4 linked regions of the Solanum lycopersicum genome follow. The protein of the gene in region 4 interacts with the protein of the main gene of each other region in a pairwise test. Links are inferred from orthologs where the notes say so. Each region holds a gene or a part of one and is shown on either strand. Other genes may lie near its edges.

Evidence for each region.
Region 1: the proteins of type 2 DNA topoisomerase 6 subunit B-like (region 4) and meiotic recombination protein SPO11-2 interact in binary tests that used the Arabidopsis thaliana proteins (3 or more experiments, as listed by UniProt). The link is inferred for Solanum lycopersicum from reciprocal best matches to the Arabidopsis thaliana genes AT1G60460 and SPO11-2.
Region 2: the proteins of type 2 DNA topoisomerase 6 subunit B-like (region 4) and meiotic recombination protein SPO11-1 interact in binary tests that used the Arabidopsis thaliana proteins (3 or more experiments, as listed by UniProt). The link is inferred for Solanum lycopersicum from reciprocal best matches to the Arabidopsis thaliana genes AT1G60460 and ATSPO11-1.
Region 3: the proteins of type 2 DNA topoisomerase 6 subunit B-like (region 4) and DNA topoisomerase 6 subunit A interact in binary tests that used the Arabidopsis thaliana proteins (3 or more experiments, as listed by UniProt). The link is inferred for Solanum lycopersicum from reciprocal best matches to the Arabidopsis thaliana genes AT1G60460 and RHL2.

What each region holds. Positions count from the first base shown.
Region 1 is NC_090807.1:66,786,260-66,790,772, reverse strand, and holds the start of meiotic recombination protein SPO11-2, read left to right. Parts: upstream 1-1,519; 5' UTR 1,520-1,649; intron 1,650-2,306; 5' UTR 2,307-2,327; coding exon 2,328-2,405; intron 2,406-2,607; coding exon 2,608-2,691; intron 2,692-3,038; coding exon 3,039-3,168; intron 3,169-3,246; coding exon 3,247-3,384; intron 3,385-3,486; coding exon 3,487-3,575; intron 3,576-4,067; coding exon 4,068-4,196; intron 4,197-4,267; coding exon 4,268-4,362; intron 4,363-4,494; coding exon 4,495-4,513. Other genes in the region: uncharacterized protein, read right to left, coding at 884-1,519. UniProt on the Arabidopsis thaliana protein: Component of a topoisomerase 6 complex specifically required for meiotic recombination. Together with MTOPVIB, mediates DNA cleavage that forms the double-strand breaks (DSB) that initiate meiotic recombination.
Region 2 is NC_090806.1:69,637,927-69,642,467, reverse strand, and holds the start of meiotic recombination protein SPO11-1, read left to right. Parts: upstream 1-1,521; 5' UTR 1,522-1,622; coding exon 1,623-1,677; intron 1,678-1,805; coding exon 1,806-1,905; intron 1,906-2,786; coding exon 2,787-2,860; intron 2,861-3,254; coding exon 3,255-3,356; intron 3,357-3,637; coding exon 3,638-3,711; intron 3,712-4,144; coding exon 4,145-4,161; intron 4,162-4,541. UniProt on the Arabidopsis thaliana protein: Component of a topoisomerase 6 complex specifically required for meiotic recombination. Together with MTOPVIB, mediates DNA cleavage that forms the double-strand breaks (DSB) that initiate meiotic recombination.
Region 3 is NC_090808.1:1,314,204-1,317,960, reverse strand, and holds DNA topoisomerase 6 subunit A, read left to right. Parts: upstream 1-1,521; 5' UTR 1,522-1,627; coding exon 1,628-2,887; 3' UTR 2,888-3,048; downstream 3,049-3,757. Other genes in the region: pentatricopeptide repeat-containing protein At5g02830, chloroplastic, read right to left, coding at 3,624-3,757. UniProt on the Arabidopsis thaliana protein: Component of the DNA topoisomerase VI involved in chromatin organization and progression of endoreduplication cycles. Relaxes both positive and negative superturns and exhibits a strong decatenase activity. Involved in cell-elongation processes.
Region 4 is NC_090805.1:43,449,475-43,453,325, forward strand, and holds part of type 2 DNA topoisomerase 6 subunit B-like, read left to right. Parts: intron 1-963; coding exon 964-1,072; intron 1,073-1,208; coding exon 1,209-1,284; intron 1,285-1,378; coding exon 1,379-1,399; intron 1,400-1,763; coding exon 1,764-1,936; intron 1,937-2,779; coding exon 2,780-2,927; intron 2,928-3,851.

The sequences.
Region 1 (4,513 bases), on a different chromosome or scaffold from region 4:
AATTAAAAAAGAAGAAGGTAACAATATTAAAAGCATAATTAAAATGCATCGTTTGTTGAAATTATGATAAGTATTCGTTAAGCACTTTTAATTACTACTCATAACTGTTATTATTGGAAACTGGAAAAGGCTTGACTTAATCGAAACCATTCCAAAGCAAACAAAGATTTAGGGTGTGTTCGCAATCATTTTAATATTTTTCCTTAAGAAATTGTTTAAAATATTTGTCTTAATATACTTTGTCAAAACTAAAATTCTCTCATTTTGCACTTGTAAGTACATAAATAACATGTATTAGAATAAGTTCAATGATGATTAGAATAAATTAAAATTTTAATACATGCTATTTATATACTTACAAATATAAAGGTGACATATAAAAAAGAATGAAAAAAATAACTTTTCAATATAAAATAAAAATGAAAGTGTCATTTATGTATTTATTTTGTGAAATAAAAATTAACATATAAACAAAAACAAATAGAATAAATATTTTCATAATATCATGCCAAATATATAATAAAAATGAACGAATAAAGTATAAAAGATAAAATAAACAAATAAATTTATTAAAAGAGTAAATGAGGAAAATAACTTTCCATTTACCCTCTTACAAACCTGTGACAAAACACGATATTTCATCACTGAACAAGAAATTAACTTTAACATTAACAATTTTTAAAAAAAGAACACAACATATCTATTGCTACGTTTTAATTAGCCAAAATAAATATTGGCTACACTAGAAAAACATAAAACCTTTTTTCAACTAAAGCTAAATACTAATCATCCTAGCAATAATAATCCCATTTAACTTGTAGCCTTTTCATTTAAAATCTAGCCCTTCTTTTCATCCCAAATTGCTGACACTTTTTTCATAGTTTTAGTAATCAAACGGGCCAGTATTATCAAGCTGTCTGCAAAGACACAAATAGGTTTGATAAAGAACACGATCCTTCGCACCCGTCCTGTGGATTTCATTATGTTTGCAGAAATACTTGAGCTGATCAAGCGTACAAAATCCAATAAACTGACCCAATAGCAAAAATACCCAATTAATTGATTTCTTTTTCGATGAGATGATCGGTTTCACACTATTCTCTTGTTCGCAAAAATTGCAATTCAGATACATCGGCGACATCCAAATATCCGGTGCGCGTTGATGCATAGACTCTTTATTTGCCGAAATAAAGCTTCCTACTTGTGCAAACTTATCACACAAATCAAATCCTATTTCGTATTTCCTCTCACATCTTCTGCATTGAACTTCACCTGTTATCGTTGAAATCTGATTCAATCGTAGCACATTAAGACTGTGAATCTTCGCTCGATGATTAGTCGCCCATGGATAAGGCGCCGGAATCGTTTCGCTTTTCAATGTGCGCTTTCGTTTACGTGGACGGCGAGATGGTGGTGGCGGTGGCGGTGGTGGAGGTGGCGGTGCTACGACGGGAGACGGAGAAAAAGACAGAGACAGTGTAAGTAAGCTATGGTCGATTTCATTGCTGTTTGTCGCCATTGTTTTGTTGTTTGTCTACAGAGAAATGGTTTTATATATAAGGAAGAGAAAAATGGAAATGGGAAGAAGTTTGTTATGAATAGTACTGTAAAGTGTACGAGAAGATAAAGACGAAACAGAAACAGAGCAGGTAGTAATTCCATTTGGTTTAGACTTCTTTTTTTTTTTTTGAATTTCGAAAAAAAGTTGGCCTTTTCAAATTCTGTTTTAGAGGGAATGAATTTGTTATGTGTTTTTATGTACAATTATTTTTAATAATAATTAAAAAAAAAGTTCACAGATTATTTTTTGTTTAAGTTAATTCTTCTAGATTTTTTAAATTTATTCGATTGAAGCTAATAAATTATTTCCTATTTTGTGGTGGTCTTTAATTTCTAGGCTTCAAGGTGAAAAAATTAAAAATTAACTCATTTAAACGATAAATTATACAATTAAATGATTGAAATTTGTCCAATTAAATCGTTGAGGTGTTTCACGCTTTTTAAAAAAAGAAAATTACAACATAAATTAGACATAATTTTCTATTTTTATTGTTATTGTATTGTTAAATATATGATTAAAATAACTAAACATTAATTAATAATTAATTTCAATACTAATAATAAAATTGAAAGAACATTTTAAAAATAGTCTTGAAAATTAAACAATTAAGTTCATTTGACAAAAATAAAAATATTTTAAAAATTCAATTAATATAAAATGAAGGAGAATAAATTCACCCGGATATGCAAAAGTGGGCCAAATCAAACACTATATAAATGCTTAGCCTCTGAATTCAAAATTGCAGATTTACCGCCATTTTGAAGCTATGGGAGAATTCTGCAGATCAACCATTTTCTTCTCCGATCAACACCTCTGCTATGCCGATATCCTTCCTTCTTCACAGGTAACTCTCCGTCACCAAAACATTCGCAGATTTCTAGCAGTGTTGAATGTATAAATTGCTTCATTTGGAAGTTCAATTAAATTAAATCGGATCGATATATTTTAGTCCATGGGAAAAGATGAACTGGTAGATTCAAAGTTCTAACCATGTCGCGATTGCAGCATGTATTTGTTTTCTGATATAATCGAATTTCTGTGTTCAGGTCCGAGCTCGAATCGAAGTTGCGGTCCTGAATTTTCTTAAAGCTCTAAGTTCAAACTCTCCGTCAATTTCTGATCTATCACTGGTTTGAAATTTTACATCTTCATCTTTTCGAAACGAAATCTCTCTATAATTTGCACTTTTAGCTTACTTCATATGCCTGCTGTAAGCATCATCAAGTTATAAACAAATCCAAAAAAAAGTTGATAAATCCATTGGATTGATGCTTCGTTAATTGTTCAGAATGCTTATTGTTCTTAATTAAGCAACTTTGGGAGATTTATATGTGAACCTCTCTGTCACCTCAAAGAACAAATGACTTACCAGTTTTGGGATGAATTAGGCCTGAACATAAATGGATATAGATGATTCATATAGTGGACGTCAAAAAGAGGCATAGTTGATGATTTATATATGGCATATGTGATGCAGATCAGTAGGAACTCCAGCAATAGCAGAGTGAGCCGTGGGTTACTTACCGGTGATTCATGGATCTTCCTGTCCCATTCTTTTTGCACGCGTTCTTTGACGAGAGAGAATAGTGCTAAGTCATTCATAAGAGGTAAAAGGCTACAAGTTTCTTACCATCAAATTACTTATTAGACAAATCAATGACGCTGGCAATGTTTTTGTGATCAAGTTTGGAAGGTTATGGAGATGTGCTACCAAATTCTGGTTCAGGAAAAGAGGGTGACACAGAGAGAGCTATACTACAAGCTGCTCTGTGATTCACCAGATTACTTCACTTCTCAATTGCAGGTTAATAGGACCATCCAAGGTCATTGTTCTTTCTTCTTTCTTCATCATATCTGAATATGATCTGTGTGTTCGGTTGATTTTGTTAACACGAGGTCCTTCATTTACTATCTATGAGGAACAGACTTGGTGGCTTTGCTTCGATGCAGCCGTTACAGCCTTGGAATAATGGCATCAAGCAGAGGGGCAATAGCAGGCCGTTTATTGTTACAGGTACTATTATCAACCCTTTGGTTGTAATTTCAAATGTTTATATTTTAATTTAATCAAACGCGTAGCAGTATTAGTATTTTGACTTGGCCAGTAACATGATCTGTCATATTGGAATGAAATAGGCCATGTACAACAAATGGATATAGAGAATTCATATAGCCCATCTCAACTAGTTTATGATTGAGGCACAACCGATTGTTTGATTTCAACATGAGCCAACCTAGTCAAAACTTTCAATGTTTCCAAATTTCTATAGTTGATAAGAGCTAGCTGCTGGTAGCCGTCTATGATCAACTATTTTGCTTTGTATCTTGAATTTGTGCCAAAACTCAATGAACCTATTACTTAAATGATGTACAAGTCTCTAAGTTCCTATATAAAGCTTGTTCAAGAATTTGAAATAGGTAGTTTATCCAACAGTTAGAACTTGGTATTTCTTTCTTCAAAGATGGACATATGACTTAAGTTTGTTTCTTTACACCACTGAGATAGGAGCCAGACAAGGAAGTTATTGACTGCTCTGCTTGTGGATCTTCGGGTTATGCTATATCAGGAGACCTGGAATTGCTGGAAAAATTAACCATGGAAACAGATGCTCGATACATCATCATGGTGGAAAAGGTATTTTATCACTTGTTGGGAACTCTAGTCAATCATTTTTGCAAGAAACTAAAACTAGTTCCACTTTTTAGCATGCTATATTCCAGCGACTAGCAGAGGATCGTGTATTCAATCACATCCCATGCATTCTGATTACTGCCAAAGGATTTCCTGATATTGCAACTAGGTGACGTGAAGATTTATAAACATCTTCAAATAGAACTTTATTCTGATGTTCTAGCTTACAGAATAGCTGCTAGGAGATTGTCCATTCAAGTATTAATTCATAACATATTCTAATCTGTAACAACTTATTCAGGTTTCTGCTTCATCGAATA
Region 2 (4,541 bases), on a different chromosome or scaffold from region 4:
GATCTCTTATAAAGCAATGATAAACGAGTAACAAAGGGAGTGATAATGATGTCCTTCGTGATTGAGCAATATTGAACTTGCCGGCGAGTAGTTGTCATCGAAATTTCTCCATCGAGGGATAGATAGAGAGAGAGAGTTAAAATCGAGGGAATAGAGAGAGAGAGTTAAAACCAGAAAGAGGAGATGAAACATAGAGTCATAGAAGACAAAGTGAGACCCACTGGTTCTATTTTTTTTAATTTTTTTTTTGTTTACGCACCTTTGTTTTTTTAATTTGTCATGTTAGCCGTTGAGGTGTTATTCAATTCACTTGCAAATTTTCTAAGGGAGTACTTAAACATCCGTAAAATTACAGTGCTAAAGTGAGTTTTGGTGACAAGTTTGAGGGGGATTTTATGTATTTTCTAATAAATAAATGATTTTCCTACTTATTTTTTAGCATTTGGTTACTACAAAGAAAATATGAGTTTTTTGTCAAAACCATCCCTAAACTATACCACAAATTTAGATTACAACCTTCAAATATTTAAAAGCGAACAGTTTTTATCTTCTGTTAGATATCGTCAAAAAATTAAGGGATCGTACAAAAACATGAGCAGTTCATGTGACCATCAATAAAGATTTCCTGCATAATTTCGTTACTTGCTATAAAAAGTTCTTGAAAAAAACATATTGAAATGTGTGAGGATACTTGATCTGCTCTTTTTCTTATTTAGTAACAAAAAGAAGGTGGAGCTTAATTATCTTACCTTTTTCATAGTCAAACTGTATTTAGATCAATAATTTTTTTGGCCAATCTGACGTTGAAGTGATCAAAATATTGATTTTGTCTTGTATTTGAGTTTCATTCTACATTATTCAAAGTGAAAGTCTCCAACAAATGTTGTTCTAGAATATTCAATCTCGAGCCGAAACCTAGGTCAAGCAGTGGTTTGAGACTCAATCTCAATCATGATTTCAAATCGAGATCGGAAATCCAACCTCGAGCCGAGATTATTGGACCTTAATCTCAAGTCAAGGTCGAGTACCAAATCGAGGTCAAGTCAAGTCTTGAATTGAAATTGGGGTTGAGTCTCGAATTCAAGACTAATTCAAAAATTAAAACAGAGGGGGCATCATGACTTAAAAAGAAATAAAAAACCTATGCAATATAACGCCATAAATTTAATCAATGCATCCAGTAAGTTATGATTAATACACCCTCAAGCAACTAGGTAGGTCCGCGCTACGTCTCGAATCAAAGTCAGTGTTGGAAATCATGAAGTTAGATCCCAACTCAAGGTTGGAAATAGGGCTTGAGGTTGAGGTCAAGCTAAAGATCAAGATCAAGAGTTAGGTATTGAGTGAGGGTTGAGATCAAAAGTTGGTTCCTTGAATGGATAGGGTTGGTGGTGAGGTTCGAATTTTTTTTCTTAATTTTAAGTGGAATAGTTATTATATCTCATATTGAAAAAATATTTTTCAAAATATTTTAAGTTAATAAAATATAAAAATTTCTAAAATATTTTTTTTTCTAAAATATTAACCTTCATGCCCAACACGCCGAGCTAACTTGCGCGCGCAGCTATAAAGCTCGGCTTTACCAATTTACAAACAACGTGAACCTGCAGAGCGAAGAGGAAATGGAGGGAAAGCGTTCAAACACGCGGCCACTAACACTCTTAAGGAAAATCAAAGGTAGCTAGCGCTTCCATTGAACTTAAATTTTTTCTGAGAAATGCATTACGATTCTCGCGTTCAATACATTGATTCTCAACAAATCTTCTTCGCGTTTAAGCCACATATACTTTGGTTTTGTTTTGCAGGATTTACTCGTTCCATTGTTGAGGATCTCGCTCGAGGTAGGCCGCCGCTGATCTACATCGAACGGTTCAGAAATTACTGTACTGACACTTCTGGAAATTGGTAAGACGCAGTGTATGTATGAGTATATGAAATGATCAGTCAAGTTATGCGTAGTGAAGTGCTTTTTTGTTATCTGTTCCTTCTTATTCGAAGATCTGGTTGAAAACAATAAATGTATGTTGCAGTTGAAAATTTCATTGCAAATAGTGTTTTAGAAAACTCAAAAACTAACACTGAATTTAGCTGTCGATTTCCTATGAATTAATAAAAAAACTACCTCCATTGGTTCAGAAATTTATCTACTGATACTTCTGAAAATCGGCAAGACGCATATGTGTGTGAGAATGTTATTTGGTTGCTTGAGTATATGAAATTATCAATAAAGTTAAACTTAGCGAAGTTTTTTTCTTCTTTCCTTCTTTTTCAAAGATCTAGTTGAAAAAAATGAATGTGTTCTGCGGTCTGAAATTTCATTGCAATTAATGTTTTAGAATTCTAACACAAAATTTTACTGAATTATTGTTGATTTCCTATCTATTGATAGAAATACAGGAATGTATGATTCCTTTCTGTATTACAAGGCCTCCAAACAGATTCTCCTTGACGTAATTGAACTGAAAATTGCAACTGATGAAGATCCACATAGGTGTAAAACGCCCCCAGCACCCCCAAAACAAACCCTTACAAAAAATAAAATGTAGAGATATCATTATTCTAAATGTCTTGCTCAGAAGAAGAACGAGCACAGTCTATACTGAGAAGTTTGTTTGTAGAAGCCATATCCTAATCCTATTCTAAGACACTAATAAGTACAATTAGTAATAGTTACGTTGAACAGAGTTCTAAAAACAATGAAATTTATTGAAGTTGGTGTTTGAATGGCTAATTAATACCATCCAAATTTTCTGATAGTATTAATGGTTTTTGTTTTATTTATGTAGCTCTTGCAGCTCCGGTTTATCGACTGGCAAGGAAGCTATTTCCTTGAAGAGGGAATGCCATGCACGTAGGCTTGGTGAGTCTAGGGAGAGTAAACAATACTTGTATATTTCATCTATAGTCCTCATTACATAGTTGACAAGAAATGAAATGATCAAGAATGGGGTAGGAATGATTATTAAAAGTTGCTATCCTCACTGAAAATGACAAAATTTCCAGGAGAACTATATTTCCCCGTTTAGTTGATTTTCTATACTTTTGTTGTCCTATATGAGCCTCCCTTTCATTGATGTTACACAGGATGCACCATGTAGGGTGGGGGACGGGGATTGGGATGGGGTAGTACAAGGTTTCTCCCTCAGTTATCTTTTCTGTTTGGTCGAATCAACTTGAAGGCACTTTTTGCTCTCCAATCTCCTTAACATCTTAGAACCTTGCATGGTTACTTCCTCTTTATGTTTTTGTTTCAGATGTTATGTTGAGAGTTCTACTGATAGTTCAACAACTTCTGCAAGAAAACAGGCATGGATCAAAAAGAGACATATATTACATGCATCCTACTGTTTTTAAAGGTAAATCTGAATCGGCCTCTGGTGTTACAAAGTTGTTACTCCCCTGTTAATTTCGTAGGACATGGTTGGACTTTATGTACTCCAGAATCAGTTTTGAAATATTCTTGTGATTGCTTATGAAGTTTTTATTCGGTGGAAAATTCGTATGTGCTGTTGTATTGTTCAGCGTTCTCAGTTGGTAGAAATCTGCCATGATTTAGATCTCTAATGCAAAATTTATGTATTCAAAGATCTCGTCTTCCTTATATGCTCATCATTTTCTTTTGCACTCCATAATGCAGAACAATCTGTTGTTGATCGGGCAATTAATGACATATGCATCCTCTTGCAATGCAGTCGGCATAACCTTAATGTGGTATGTCAATCTACTTTCCTCTCCATATCAAAATACACTCATTTTAGATGTATATCCACATGTCCTCACTATTAGCAGAGCCCGTTGAAATTCTCTTCTATTTTTATTTAGCAAGATGTTCATTTTCACAGTGGAGGATTCAATTAGGGTTCAGAATATTGATATTAGAAGTGGTCATTCTGCTACTTATACATGCTTTTGACACACGAAACGGTAGATCACAAGTATCTAACTCTGCCTTCTCTAGTGTAGTTGATTAGAAGGATGTGAATACTGTTCTCATATAGAACTTGAATATCAATTTCAGAGAATGAAAATGATATTGCTAGACTAGGGTAAACCCATCATTCAAATGATTAGTTTGTTCTTCTTTTATTGCTAGTCTTGTAGGAAACTTGACATTTTATATACTTTTGATGCTTGCCTTCTGCAGGTGTCTGTTGGGAATGGGTGCGTACCTCTACACAGTTAATATTTCCTTGCAGGAGTGTGATTCTAGACACATACAGTTTGAGTTCATTATATGCAATGTTCTTTCTCATACTTGACATTTATAATTCCCCATCTTTTCTTCTTGAAAATTCAAATGTTTCTTCTTCAGTTGATTATGTTTATACCTCTTGCATTGTCTGAATGTTGCTACATTATGTATCTAAATTTCTTTTTGGGGAGCAAAGTTACTTCATGATTGAGAGTGTTGACATAGTCTATCATGTTACAATAAGCTTTTGCACTTTTAGCAAGGTAAAATTTAATGATAACCCGGAGAAAGCATGTCAACTCTCAAGGAGTACTATTGCATCATCATTTTTGGCCTACTTTTAAAGATA
Region 3 (3,757 bases), on a different chromosome or scaffold from region 4:
CCAACTCTCGCTCGTCTCTCTTCTCCGTATAACATGTAGCTACAAATGATAATTTATGAGATTTTTTAGTGCTATATGTGAAAGTTTCCCGTTTTCAAAATAACAATGTAAACCAAGTCCAAAACATATTGGGCCAATAGCTATTCAAAATCCTTGTGAATATAGGAAAGTCCTGGTTTGTTCCTCCCTATTATAAAACGCCCTCACATTGTTACAATTCTTACCATCCTTGTATCTGTCCTAGCATGAAACCCTCTTCATCTTCTTCCAATCAAAATAAGGAGGTCAAAATAATCCATTTACAAAGATATTAAATAATTTGGTGGGGTGATAGGACACTGTGGGGGTAATAGGACACTTCTTTATGCAAATACGAAACAATTTTGATGGTGTCTTTATGTCTTTTCTCTCGTGCTATATGATATAAAAGAAATCTTAAATGTTTGTTGCAAAGAAAATCAAGATGCATCCCTTGTTTTATTACATTGGTTAGAGTTTTTACGGAGGAGGAGTTTATTGTTGTTCAAGGTGGAGTCGGAATTTTAATTCTATAGCTTCTATTTTAGGAAAATGGCTTTAAGTATTGATAATTGAGTCCTAAATGTAATACGGTACATATTTAATGAACTTTCTAAATTAATTCGTTTTAAGAAAAGAAACTGCTTGAGTTAGCTGAATCTGTATCTAGACACGATATTTTTATTGTTTATAAGTATATAATACCATTTGTATTTTATTTTTAATTGTGTGTAATGTCACTATAATGAAGTAAATTAATAACAAGCAACTCTTTATTTGCGAAGAAAAGAACAAATCTACACATGAAGACATCTCAAATAGATAAACTGGTTTATAAATATGGAGAAAAGTATATATCGTTTAAATTTGTCATCACATCGTGAGAGTGAAGAATGAGCAACTTTTATATAATTTGGTGATTAATATATGCATCATTTTCTCTACCCCTTTAATGGTTAATGTGTATACACACTATATAGTCTTAGTGATGTGATTTGTATCTACCCTCCTCATGTTCTGTGGAATTATACTAAATATTTTGTTATTGTTGTTATTGTCCCAAATATTAAAAAGGATAGTTCGATGCACGATAGTATTTGATAAATTGAAATGAACTACTTTTTTCGTTTAAAAAAGGATGACCTAGTTTGACTTGGAACGGAGTTTAAAAAAAGAAATAAGAAATTTTAATCTTGTGGTCTAAATTAAAGTTATGTCAAATGTATCAAAATGCACTTTAATCTTGTGGTCTTAAACATGTCACGTGGAAAGTTAAAATTAAAGTGTTGCAAAAAAAAAAAAGGGAAAATTCGCGTAGACATATTGCGAATGAATTTACAGTCCGTCCCCATTAACCCCTCGGGCATCGACCCAGGAAGAATCAATTTTCGACTTATTTTTAAAACAAACTAAAAAGAAAATAGAGACATTCTTTTTGAAACGAAGACAGAAAATTATTCGAGAATATATTTAAGAGATTATTTTGGACATATACCGAACTTTAGGGACCATTTTTGCCATTTTCTTTACTTTAACCAAAGCCCTAAGCACTACAGTACCTATCCTCACATTTATTGTCATTTCCCGCTTCACCTAATCCCCGTCGCCGATGGCCGACAAGAAGAAACGCCGGCGAGCAGCTCACGACTCCGATTCCGACTCCGAAAGCCGGCCTTTCCAATCCAAGCTCAAACCCGACTCCGTCATCCTCCAAACCCTAAAAGCACTCAAATCCTCCTGTTCCACCACTTCCAAAACCCTATCCCTCTCCGACGTCGGCCTCTCCTCTACCTGCCGTGAAGTCGCCGACCTCCCAATCGATGAGGTACAGTCCGAAATTGAATCGTTAGCGTTTACTATAGCTAAATCCATACTCTCCGGTGAAGGTTTCTCTTTCTCCGTCCCTTCCCGCGCTGCCGCTAACCAACTCTATGTCTCCGAACTCGACCGCATTGTTCTCAAAGACAAATCATCGGCTCGCAACTTCGGTAATGTATCTACTGTTCGTAAAGCAACAATTACTCTTAGAATCCTTCAGCTTGTTCATCAGCTTTGCACCAGTAACATTCATGTCACAAAGCGTGATCTTTTCTACACCGACGTTAAGTTGTTTCAGGATCAGACGCAGTCTGATGCTGTATTAGATGATGTTTCGTGTATAGTTGGATGTACTAGGTCTAGTTTGAATGTGGTTGCAGCTGAGAAAGGAGTTGTAGTTGGAAGGTTGATTTTTAGTGACAATGGCGATATGATTGATTGTACGAAAATGGGAATGGGAGGGAAAGCTATACCTCCGAATATCGATAGAGTTGGTGATATGCAGAGTGATGCATTGTACATATTGTTAGTCGAAAAGGATGCTGCGTTTATGAGATTGTCTGAAGATCGGTTTTACAATAGATTTCCTTGTATAATCGTGACTGCAAAGGGTCAACCGGATGTGGCAACTAGGTTGTTTCTGAGGAAGATGAAGATGGAGCTGAATTTGCCGGTTTTGGCATTGGTGGATAGTGATCCTTATGGGTTGAAGATTTTGTCAGTGTACGGATGTGGATCGAAGAATATGTCATATGATAGTGCGAATCTGACTACCCCGGATATCAAGTGGTTGGGTATTAGACCGAGTGATTTGGACAAGTATAAGATACCGGAGCAATGTAGGTTGCCAATGACTGAACAGGATATTAAGACTGGGAAAGATTTGTTGGAGGAGGACTTTGTGAAGAAGAATCCCGCGTGGGTTGAGGAGTTGAATTTGATGGTGAAGACTAAGCAAAAGGCTGAGATTCAGGCGTTGAGTTCGTTTGGATTTCAGTATCTGTCCGAAGTATATTTGCCATTGAAGCTGCAAGAACAAGATTGGCTATGAAAATCAAATCTTGTTGTTTAACTACTTCAATCTTATCGTATTAATTTATGCCTAAAGTTAAATGCATATCTTGTATCTCGTTTACTGTATTTTTATGGGGAGCGTCTTGTTGTGTTAACGCATCTTCGTTCTTATGATTTTGAGTGGATTGGTTTGATTGCGCTTTTTTGAGTCGACCTCTCTACCCCACAAAGGTAGTGATAACTTTTGAATGCGTCCTATCTCTCTAGACCCTATATGTGACTTGTGGGATTATAGTGAATATGTTGTTTTGTTACAGGATGCTTTCCCGAAACAACCTCTCTACCCCACAAAGGTGGGGATAACTTTTGGGTACGTCCTATCTCTCTAGGCCCTACTTGTGATGACTTGTGGGATTATGATGGATATGTTGCTACAGGATGCTTTCCGAAAACAACCTCTCTACCCCACAAAGGTAAGGTTAAGATTTGCAGATATCATGTCTTTTCCGTTGTGTAGTTGTGATAGGATGCTTTCTTTGATCCACGATGATGCAAGAATATTGGAATGTTATGAAGCAGCTACATATATTGTGCGAGAATAAGAACACATCATTTTCTTTTGTTACTTTTGTTTACATTTGATGGTAAAATGTGAAGTTTTTAGCATGTGGTATATCATTGAATATACAGTGTTTATTCGGCTGTTAAAGGGATGAAAGAACTCTACGAAAAGAAAGAGTTCGTATAAATCTATACATATCATGTTTCGTACATCATTGCACTACAGAAGCATCTAACCTTCTTGTTAGCCAGGATTGCAGTGACTCCTTAGTTATCCTCATTTTTTGCAAAACCACTGGTTTCCTTGTTGGAGAGTGCACGCTTGGTCGTAGAATGACTCTTTCTG
Region 4 (3,851 bases):
AATTACAAAAAAGATATATGATAACAACTATCAAAAGCAAGAAAAAAAACATGTATAAGACTAATACTACAACATACGCGATACTTCCAGACTCCTGACAAGCCTAATCTCGCTGAAAAGTGAGATAGAACTCAACTACCTACTAACTTTCTACCCTAATCCACGATCTCCATATCCTCGTGTCCTCGGTAAGTTGAAGCTGCACCATGTCCTATCTAATCACCTCTACAGCTCTACCCAATACTTCTTCGGTCAACCTCTACCTTTCCTCTTACCCACTATATCCAGCCTCTCACGCCTCCTTGCATCTGTACCTCTCCTCTTCTATGCCCAAACCATCTCAGGCGTTCGCTTCCCTCAGCTTGTCCACCACGGAGGCCACTGCCACTTTGTCCTGGATATCTTCAATTATAATCTTATCTCTCCTAGAATGCCCACACATCCATCTGAACATCCTCATTTTTCTAACTTGTATCTTGTGAACAATGTAAATTGGGATCAACTGTTTACTCAGAACGTCTCATCGCTAACTCTTCTCTGAATCCTGGCTAATCACGTCTTGAATGATACAGTTCCTTAACCAGTAAATTTTAATGACAGAATACATGATCATCTGTGTCAACTTCACAAAGGTTGTATACACTAAAAAGCGGAATTGATGCAGTTTGACAGTTCATCGAACTTTATGTTGGTATCCAACTTAACAAAAACCAATCAAGCTCACACAACTTGTCTTTTAGCTTAGGGTGATCATTATCTCCTAGTAATAAACTGTTGGAATTGCTTTGGAAGAATGGCTTCTGGATATAATTATCTTTCATAATGACAGGTTTATAACTTTATATAAGTTTTACATATATAACATATTTCTTACCTTTGACAATTAGACAACGTTGGAAGTACTCCTATATCTCATAGGATTGAGAACATTTGGTTGTCTAAACTGAGGGATGAAAGTTGCAGGCACATCTGATAGTGAGATACACAATTTAAACGTAAATCTAAAAGATTCTAATTCTGCTGGAAGACTGACAAAGCTACCCTCAACTGCAAAGAATGGTGCCAAATTCAGGTATGCCATTTTCAGGGGCTCCATCCATGTGATGCTACTCTTAAATTAGTTTTCTCTTGACCATACCCATCTAGTCTTTTCCTTCCTTTCTATGCTTCTGTCTTTCCGCACATGGTTAATTACTTATACCTTGCAGTGGGACTGAAGTATCAATATCAATATCCAAGAGCCTTGATGACTTGTTGGCAGAGATTACTTGCTTTCTTCAAAAGGTTCATTTTCATGTCTATCAGCTGATTCTAGCTATGATTTCCTAAATTGTATGAAAAATTCTCTAACTACAGTTTTTCATTGCTATCTACGCAGATGATCCTTCTGAAGATTCCGGTTAGTTCATTACTTTTCTTGAAATGCTTTATATTCAAATCAAATGCAACTATCTTCTCTATAGACCCCTCTTATAAATCATAGCTACTAACTGCTCAGACAGCTCAAGGCGTTCAGTGTGAACCTACTAAATGCAAGTGTATATATTTTGGATGAGTTCACCATGTCAAAAATATTTCTTTTGTTACCAGATTCGCATTAAAATTCGAAAGTTTTAAGCTTTTATATGTCATTTTAACCTACTTCTTTGGCCTTGTTATATTTTGAAAAGCTTACCTTTTTCCCTATCCTGTTTCCTAGGAGTTACCTAGGAGCCTAGGACCACTACCTCTCTGTGGCTGATGGCTTGTTTCTCTTCTTACAGAAAGTTGTAATGGAACTCTTAGTATGTGGTGATGATCCTTTGAGTTCACAGATTGAAAGTCGTATTCTGGCAATTGAGGGCAGCTCTGCATATTCTCCTATTGAAAGCATAGAAAGCTTGAAAGTGGGACTCAAGGATTATATTCGCAAGCACCAAACTTGCTTCTCAATTGGGTAAGTACTAGAAAGGTGCTAGGTTTTGGTTAATGAATGATGATGCATTCCAACCTCTAGTTTTTGTTGAAGGTTGGATATAATGTATTAGTAGGTCTAACTTCCACATGTTGAAATCATAATTCTTAGGTGCTAATATAAAAAGATAACAAAGAGTACACTTTGACATAGTTACCCTGAACTTTGTCATTTCCTTGTTTTACATGAACTATTTCATCTACTAACTTTAAGCTAGCCTTTCATTCTACAATTTTCCCATTAAAAAGTGTGACATTTGCAGTTCTTCTCTCTTTCTTATGTGGTTTTGTCTGTATGCCTGACCGTTCATTAAGCTACTTCAGTGTGATATAAAGTAGTGCATTATTGTTCTGAAATATACAATTTGTAGATTTTACCTTCTTGAAATACTGGTTACAAATAGTTAGATTGAGTGAAGATGGGAAAAAGAAGCTTGGGATACACTGGACCAGGTGAGAGAAAATCAGGATCAAACATAAAAGGAAATGCTAGAACTCCAACCATAGAAGCAGACTGAAGGAGGAGTAGAGGCAAGACAATTGATCACATGTAGCATGCAGGAAGTAGTACTTAAGTTATTTAAAATCTGGTTGACAGCTCAATTGACTCCTTCAATTTGATGTAGGAGGATTTAAGTTTGATAATGTAATTTAGTTAAGATCTATTTGTGGTGCTAAACGGCTCATATGGTATATGTAAAATTGCAGCATCTCATATAAGATCTTTGGAGATGTAACTGTTGTGCAGAGCCAAAAACAAAACGAAAATATCAATGTGCATTGCATTAAACACGGCTGTACATAAAGTCGTTGTTTCTTATTTCAGGGAAAACCTGAAGGTTGGAACTGGGGTTGCTAATTCTTCAGATAGTTCTCAGGGAAATAGCCAGGTGGTGGAAGCTGTTGTGATTATCAATGAGATGTCAGAACTAGTTCATTCTTCCAGCATCAGTGAACAAGACATGAAAACAGAGGTTTGCTTTGGATTAATTGAAGAAGACTCTTAAAAGCATAAAATATGTTTGCATTCCAATATCTGCTTTATTAATTATGTTGTGATCAAATGTTAGATAATAGTTCACTGTAAAGATGCCATGTTGCATATTCTTTCCCAACATCTTTTAACTTGTGTTTTGAGTTCATTTGTTGTCCTAGAATGTGTGGATTGTGAAAACTAATGATAATATCACAGATATGCATTCTTTGGGATTTCAACTTTCCGGGATCTTTTATCACTATGAATGTCTTGTTTTCATATAAGCATGGTGCACAAGGTGAAGAACCTTGTGCACTTTATGGTGTGTGGAGGCTAAGATTTATGCAATTTCCCCTACATCATGGAGTAGATAGCTATTTATGTGAGTAATAACTGAAAAATATTTTTGAACTTCTGAGGGCCAAGAAGTGGACCTTTTTCTTTATGGCCATCTTGATGACATTGGATTGGATATGTTACATTACACATACAACAACTATGTCTCAATCCCAAGCAAGTTGGGGTTGGCAATATAATCCTCACGGACCATGTGGCTCCATTTATGTTCATAAATAGATTTACATATCAGGAAACAAAATTCTATGTGGAAAGTGTGATTTTCATATTGTAATATAAAATAAACTATTTCCTAAAATCTAGAGTATACCCAGTGTATACCAAACAGGATACATTAATAATCCGATCTTATTATACTGTGGACAAATATAGTCTCTGGTATTGAGTCTAATTAAATATTGCTTATTAAACTTCGAGGATATCAAAAGTTTTTGCTAAGTGAACTATACAAGTTATAGGTTGGCTGTCCCAGCCATTTCTAGTCCTTACAGTTGTTTCCAAAAGTATACGATGGAGGGGGACTTAATATCTAATCTCCAAAGTAAACGAAATACAAGTGAGGACA